Linked DNA regions of Pelodiscus sinensis. The protein of the gene in region 2 purifies or fractionates together with the protein of the main gene of each other region. This does not show direct contact. Links are inferred from orthologs where the notes say so. Each region holds a gene or a part of one and is shown on either strand. Other genes may lie near its edges.

Evidence for each region.
Region 1: the proteins of ASIC1 (region 2) and PICK1 purify together in Homo sapiens (affinity purification with western blotting; 3 studies listed by BioGRID and IntAct, with this or other methods). This does not show direct contact. The link is inferred for Pelodiscus sinensis from reciprocal best matches to the Homo sapiens genes ASIC1 and PICK1.

The regions. Positions count from the first base shown.
Region 1 is NC_134711.1:92,069,096-92,073,002, forward strand, and holds the start of PICK1 (PRKCA-binding protein), read right to left. Parts: upstream 2,679-3,907; 5' UTR 2,461-2,678; intron 1,484-2,460; 5' UTR 1,431-1,483; coding exon 1,390-1,430; intron 1-1,389. UniProt on the Homo sapiens protein: Probable adapter protein that bind to and organize the subcellular localization of a variety of membrane proteins containing some PDZ recognition sequence.
Region 2 is NC_134729.1:6,495,123-6,499,029, forward strand, and holds the start of ASIC1 (acid-sensing ion channel 1), read right to left. Parts: upstream 2,761-3,907; 5' UTR 2,285-2,760; coding exon 1,661-2,284; intron 1-1,660. UniProt on the Homo sapiens protein: Forms voltage-independent, pH-gated trimeric sodium channels that act as postsynaptic excitatory receptors in the nervous system, playing a crucial role in regulating synaptic plasticity, learning, and memory.

The DNA.
Region 1 (3,907 bases), on a different chromosome or scaffold from region 2:
TTTACCTAGCTATATTGCTTACAGCTATGAAAAATTTCAAGTCCTGTGGAATAGTTAGGTTGAACTACTCCCCAAAGTACAGGCAGTCCCCGACTTACGCGGATCCGACTTATGTCGGATCCGCACTTACGAACGGGGCTTTTCTCGCCCCGGAGCTCACGGGCGGTGTGTTGCCACCCGTGTCCTCCGGGGCGAGAAAAGCTTCTCCCGGTCTCCCTGGTCTGCTGCGGGGGGGGGGGGGGGGGGGGGGGGGGGGGGGGGGGGGGGGGGTCCAGCAAAGCCACTGGACCCCCCCAGCAGACCAGGGACACCCAGGCAGCGGCTTTGCTCGGGTGTCCCTGGTCTGCTGGGGGGGTCCAGCGGCTTTGCTGGACACCCCCAGCAGACCAGGGAGACGCAGAGCAAAGCCGCGGAGCATGCCCGCAGCGGGACAGCCTGGGCGCGCCTGGGCTGTCCCGCTGTGAGCGTGCTCCAGGGCTTTGCTCCCCGTCTCCCTGGTCAGAAGACCAGGGAGACGGAGCAAAGCCGTGGAGGACGCGGGCGGTCCCGCCACCCACGTCTCCCTGGTCTGCTGGGGGGGGGGTGTAGCTAGTGCCCCCGCCCCAGCAGACCAGGCTTTTCTTGCCTATGCCTGGGGTAGAGCAGCTGGGGCGCTGCCGGGTTGGTCCCGCAGCGCCGCTCCTCGGCGCTACTGTACCAACCCGGCAGCACCCCAGCTGCTCTGCCCCAGGCGTCCTGATTCAGCCGCTGCTGGTCAGTTTCAGCAGCGGCTGAATCAGGACGCCTGGGGCAGAGCAGCTGGGGTGTTGCTGGGTTGCTCCAGTAGCGCCGCTCCTCGGCGCTACTGGAGCAACCCAGCAGCACCCCAGCTGCTCTGCCCCAGGCGTCCCCAAGTCAGCCGCTGCTGAAACTGACCAGGGGCTGACTACAGGAAGCCCGAGGCAGAGTTGCTCTGCCCCGGGCTTCCTGGAATCAGCCGCTGATCAGTTTCAGCAGCAGCTGACTTGGGGACGCCTGGGTTTCTTAAGTTGAATCCGTATGTAAGTCAGAACTGGCGTCCAGATTCAGCCGCTGTTGAAACTGATCAGTTTCAGCAGCAGCTGACGCCAGTTCCGACTTACATACAGATCCAACTTAAGAACAAACCTCCAGTCCCTATCTTGTACGTAACCCGGGGACTGCCTGTAAATGGAGTTAGGCTGATAGATGAATTCTTCCATCAAACTTAGCTACTGCTTCTTTAAGAGGTGGATTTACTACAGTGATACAAAACCTTTCAGTCACTATAAAAGGTATCCATAGAACCACAGCAGAGCTGCAGCTGTCCCTTTGTAGTGTAAACATGTTCTTTGATATTTAATTGTCAAGAAAGGGAAATAAAGTACTCACAGCTTATCCTCCTCAATGTCATAGTCCAAGTCTCCAAACATCGCTCTGGCAGTCTGGAGCCTTTTGACTTGAAACTCTGTTTACACCAAAGTGCCTGGAAAGAGGAAAAAAGACTTGTAAATTTAATTCTCTCAATTCATCAATGCTCAGCAGCTAAAGCTGAAGAATCAACCTGTGCCCTCTGTCAGGCCCCTTCTCTCTGCTAACTGGGGATGGAGCTGTTTGGGAAGGAGATATTTCAGACTCTTCTGATTCACTGCTCAGGGTTGGAGATGGGGTAATGGTGCTTTTTATTGTTTCACAAGGTATACAAGTACTCTAATACTTAGAAAAGGACACAGCCCATCATTCAATCTGCTTAGCACAATACTTTCCAGAGCTATCTGGGGTCTTATTCCCTTCACCCATTTACTATTTCAGTTTCTTCTGGATTCTGCAGCAAGTCAATATGCATCTCACGGGCCTCTGCCTCCTTCCTCTGAGGGCTAAACACAGTTTTCCCTCACTGCTTTTTCATGGAAAGTATTCTCATGTCTGACAATTTGAGGAAGCATCTTTCTCCCGCACCCTCATGTTTCAGAGAAGAGCGCAGCAAACATCTCTCTGCATCACCACCACCATCACAGTAGCTGCACAGCGGTTCATCTCTGGATTCGTGCTCTGCTCTGAGTCTCCCAGCTTCTGTCGCTCCACTGGGGTGGCTGGTGCTGGAAGTGGGGAGACTGCGTGTGCCTGCGTGAGAAGGTGCCGGTGCCCTGCGGTGACTTGTCAGGGTCAGTGCTGCCAGGTGCTAAGCGGGTTAGTGGCTGCTTGGCATGGAGTGGAGGGTTGTCAGGATCTGGGGGATCCCGCGCTGCTGCGCGAGGTGAGGAGCAGGGGTCAGGCTGGCACGGGGGGGGGGGGGGGCAGCTCTGAAGGGAGCAAGTGAGGGGAGGGGCGGAGACCGGCCCAGACTTTGCCCCGCGGCGCTCAGGGCAGTATGGGGTTAAGGGGGCCCCTCAGCTGCCCCCCCCCAGGAACGTGCCCCCCAGGGCTGGGAAAGCTGGCACGGGGGAGGCGTTAGTCACTCACCGGAAACAGCTGTCCAGAGCTGGGTACCTGCATCCACCTGCCGCCTCTACCTGTCAGAACACCGCGCCTCCACGTCACTTCCGGGCCGGAAGCCGCCTACCTATCCCAACTCCCTCTCCCCCACTCGCACCCGGGCTTCGCCCACCGGTCGGAGCAGCTGTCTCGGGGCCCGCCCACCGCTCCGCGCTCTCTTCTCGCGATAAGACAGGCCCACCCCTGAGAACGGGTCGCTATGGAGACGTAGAGCGCTCGGGCGGCTCTCGGGACAGCCAATAGAGGAAGGGGCGGGGCCCAGCTGTGGGCTCGCGCCCTGCAGCCGCCATGTTGGGGCGGCCGTTGGGCGGGCGCGCGGCTCTGGCGCAGTCCCGCATCCCGTGGGAGGCGCCCGCGCCACTTCCCTGCTTGGGCCCCTGCCCCGCAGCCGCCGGGCTAACGGCCAAGTGGACGCGCCTGCGTGGCCTCTGCCAGGCCGGGCCCATAGCAGGTGACAGGAGCCGGTGCAGCGCTCAGGGCACTACCTGCCTGCGCCCCCCCCTACCCCCAGTGCGCGTCACCCCCGCCGGGGCTCATTTCCCGTGCCTAGGCTGGTCATTGCCAACCCTCCAGGAGCCTCCTGGAGTCTCCAGGACTTAACGGGCGATGGGATGGGATGAAATCTCCAGGACTACGTCTGACCAAAATTGGCAACCCTGCGACCAGGGGCAAAGTCACTCGGCCCACGCTGGGCTGCCCCTGGGACTGGGGGGAAGTTACCTTGACCTTGCAACTAGGGTCGTGAATGGGAAACCAGTTAGCTCTGAGCAGCCCCCTGCTGCCCATGACACCCAGAACAGTCACTTGAGGTTGTTCCAAGTTAGATGTAGGGTGTGGGATGAAGAGGGGTTCAGAACAGGGGGCTGGTGTGTGTGAGAGGAGGGAGGGAGTGTTTAGGGGTGAGGAAGGACCGCTCCCCCCGGGCAGCCCTGGCTGCTCTCCACATGGCCAGGAAGGATCTGGTTGGGACTTGCCTTCCCCAGCTGGGCTTTTGCCCACTGTCCCTGGGCTCAGAGCAGAGGATGGAGGTGCAGGAGATAGGGCAGGGAGGCAGGAGGGTGACTTACCAGGGCCAATCATGGTGGCAATGGTGACAGTGTTCCAGAGGCAGCTCCTCCCCGGGGCCCAGGATTGTGCTTTCTGGATGGCAGCTTGTTCAATGGGGGGAAAGCTGTATGGTCTGACCCCAGCCTCCAGTTCAGGGTTGGGGGTGGGGGCTCTGTGGGCTGCCCTGGCCTCCAGCTCCCCTGCCAAGCCTCCAGCCTGTCCAGGAGGGTTGGACCTGTCCTCCAACTGCCCCACTATCCTCCAGTTGGTCCAAGGGGAGCTATGATTTCCAGCCTCGGAGTCTCCCCAGTGAGTCTCCTCTGGGGCTGTGTGGAGGAGTAGGTCACAGTTCCCAACCCTGGCCTAT
Region 2 (3,907 bases):
GACGTAGCCCTCCCTGTCCAAGTTTCCACTGCTTGTAAGTTTCTCTTTTGTGGTTAAGCTCACCAAGGATTTCTCTGATAAGCCAAGCTGGTTGCCTATCATATTTGCTTTTCTTACTGCGCATCAGGATGGTTTGTTCCTGGGCTTTCAATAAGGCTTCTTTAAAATACAGCCAGCTCTCCTGGACTCCTTCCCTCTTCATATTAGCATCCCAGAGGATTCTGCCCATCAGTTCCCTGAGGGAGTCAAAGGCTGCTTTTCTGAAGTCCAAGGTCTATATTTTGCTGCGCTCCTTTCTTCCTTTGCTCAGGATCCTGAACTTGACCATCTCAGGATCACTGCCGCCCACATCCACTTCCCCTACTAATTCCTCCCTGTTTGTGAGCAACAGGTCAAGCTGCACACGGCCCCTGGTTGGTTCCTTCAGCACTTGTACCAGGACGTTATCTCCAACATTCTCCAAAAACTTCTTGGAGTGTCTGTGCGCTGCTGTACTGATGTCCCAGCAGATGTCAGGATGATTGAAGTCCCTTGTGAGAACCAGGGCCTGTGATCTGGAAGCTTTTGTGAGTTCTCTAAAGAAAGCCTCATCTATCTCATCCACCTGATCTGGTGATCTATAACAGACACCAACCACAACATGACTCCTGTTGCTCCCACCTCTAAACTTAACCTAACCAGACCCAGTGCTCCCGGCCAGCCGTCACTGGGGTATTAACACTGGGGCATTCGAAGGGCTGCCTCCCTGCCAACTGACACCAGGCTGCTGGTAAAGAGAAATAACATTTCCATCAGGGAACTTGCTCCAGGCGGGCAGCTGACAATGGCTCCCTGCCTTCACTTCATCTGCCTCCCTCCCCCACTTCTCCAGCTCATTTGCTGTTCCTTCAGGTCCTGTTCTCTCCCCGTCACACATGGAGCAGTTTAATTACAGCAAGCCATTTGCCAGCCATGCGGGGGGCCCGTGGGCGCAGCTGGCACAAGTCACAGCACCAACGGAGCGGCAGGAGACATATGAAAGACCAGCCCGAGCCAGGGCCCTTGGCTGCTAGAGTTTAGAACTAGACACTCATGACAGCAGCTAGTACATCTGGCCTGCTAGGCACCACACTCTGGGCAGACCGGGTGGCACTGGTGCTGGTTGAGGGGGAATGGGGCCTCAGGCCCCCATGAGGAAGCTACAGCAAAGGCACATGGGCTCCAGCAGAGGTAGGGGAAAGGGCAAAACAGCTATAACAGTCGTCTATGCCTCAGGGAACCATTTATGGGGCCAAAACTGCACTGAGGAGCTGGGTTCCTCATGGTGTATGAGCCTCTTAGGGGTGGAAATTAGCAAAGAGCAAGTCTAGTGATATCAGCCCCATAAACACAGTGGGTGCCAATCACCATCCTGCAAGCACCACTCAGCCAGACACCCGGCTCTGTTCATATCCCCAGGTTCCTGCCGAAGCCCAATGGCACTGCCTTGCCTTGAATGTTTATCGCCACATGGACCCTGCCATAGTGGCAGAGCTGAGAGACAAACAGGCTGGCTGGGGCAGAGATCAGCCAGGGGACCAAGTTGCCCCATAGGAGGGGTCCCTTGGCTCCTGCCAGGGCTTGTTCTTCCCCACATTACTGAGAGGAACAAAAGCCCCTGACGGGAGCAGGGCTTACTCACCACGGAGAAGTCCTCTGGCCCACACACAGCCCCTCGGTAGCTGCAGTTCAGCAGCATGTCCTCCAGCTGGTGGCAGGTGCGGTTGTAGAAGTTGTACATGTTCAGGGGCTGCTCCGAGGCCTCTGAGCTGAGTTGGGCAAGGGGGAAGTCCGGCTCCATCCAGCTCTCGTACTTCACCATGGGCGCAATGTAGAGCAGGTCCTCCTGGCTGAGCTGTGAAACCCGCAGGAGGTTGATGTTGCAGAAGGTGATGGCCGGGAAGGTCATCTCGGTGCTGTCCTGCTCATCCAGCAGCGTGACATGGTGGTACTCCAGGTAGTAGATGATACGGTCAGCCACCTGGTAGAGGAACATGGAGAGGGAGAGCAGGAAGGCCAGCGCCCAGAGTATCTGCCGCACCTTGAAGCCACCCTCCACGAAGATGTGGTTGGCTCCGTGCAGCGTGCAGCTGTTGGCAAAAGCCACAATGTCAGTGGCTGTTCCCTCCTCCTGCTCTTCTTCGTCCTCCTCCTGATTGTAAAGGAACTCGTCCACACTGTCTTCTCCTCTCCCCACGGTCCCGTTGTCTCCACGTCCCTCCTCGCTGGAGGAGAAGGAGATGGTGCAGAATATCTGGATGGGCATTCTCCAGGAGGGGGGTCCCCACCCCTCCCCAGCCCTCCTTGTTCCGCTGCTAGCCAGGGGGTCCACAAGGGCTTTGGCCCAACCCTCTTGAGGGACAAAGAAAGATGTGAGAGCGAGAGAGAGAGCTAGGGAGGACAGAGGGGGAGGAAACTTGAGTGAGAAATCAGGCCGGGGGGGGGGAGGAGAAGAAATTAGAGTGACCAGAGAGACACCGGAGGTGGCAGAGGGAGAAGTGGAGAAATGGAGAGAAAAAGGGAGGAGACAAGACTGGAGGAGAGAAAGGGACAAATGAGGCGTTACCGGAGCAGCGCGAGAGAAGGGGCTGGAAGGAAGACAAGGAAGCAGGAGTTCTGCAGGGCTCCCCCACAGCCCCACAGGAAGCTTGGTCCAGAGAGGAAAGTATTGCTGGCTCCAAAAGCTCCTCCGCTCAATTCGCAAACAAGTTGGGAGCTCCCGACGCTCCAAGCTCCGAGCCGAGTTGCTGCGCTCCTGTGTGGCTGCCAGCTCCGGACGCTCGCACGGGTGTGTGAGCGCAGAGCCTACAGCCCAGTGCTGCAATCAGCCCGGCCGGCAGAGACTAGGCCTGCTGAATAATTGATCAGCGTTCCCTGTCCTCAGAGCCGGTGGAGGAGGCAAGGAGGACTGGGGGAGGGACTCAGTCCAGCCCGGCGGTCCCTGAGGGCCCGATGCACCCAGGTCCCATCTTCACAATGGCGGGTTCTTTCCTGAACCCACCATGTCTGTCTGTTCTAACTCCTTTTTTAATAGGAAGTATCTTGAGAGAATAAGGGACATGCAGGAGTTCATAGCGCAGAGAATACGGGACCCACCGAGCCCAGACACAGTGTGTGGGGTTCATACCACAGAGAATACGGGACCCACCGAGCCCAGACACAGTGTGTGGGGTTCATACCACAGAGAATACGGGACCCACCGAGCCCAGATGCAGTGTGTGGGGTTCATACCACAGAGAGTACGGGACCCACCGAGCCCAGATGCAGTGCGTGGGGTTCATACCACAGAGAATACGGGACCCACCGAGCCCAGATGCAGTGTGTGGGGTTCATACCACAGAGAATACGGGACCCACCGAGCCCAGATGCAGTGTGTGGGGTTCATACCACAGAGAATACGGGACCCACCGAGCCCAGACACAGTGTGTGGGGTTCATACCACAGAGAATACGGGACCCACCGAGCCCAGATGCAGTGTGTGGGGTTCATACCACAGAGAATACGGGCTCCACCGAGCCCAGATGCAGTGTGTGGGGTTCATACCACAGAGAATACGGGCTCCACCGAGCCCAGATACAGTGTGTGGGGTTCATACCACAGAGAATACGGGCTCCACCGAGCCCAGATGCAGTGTGTGGGGTTCATACCACAGAGAATACGGGACCCACCAGGCCCAGACGCAGTGTGTGGGGTTCATACCACAGAGAATACGGGCTCCACCGAGCCCAGATGCAGTGTGTGGGGTTCATACCACAGAGAATACGGGACCCACCAGGCCCAGACGCAGTGTGTGGGGTTCATACCACAGAGAATACGGGCTCCACCGAGCCCAGATGCAGTGTGTGGGGTTCATACCACAGAGAATACGGGCTCCACCGAGCCCAGATGC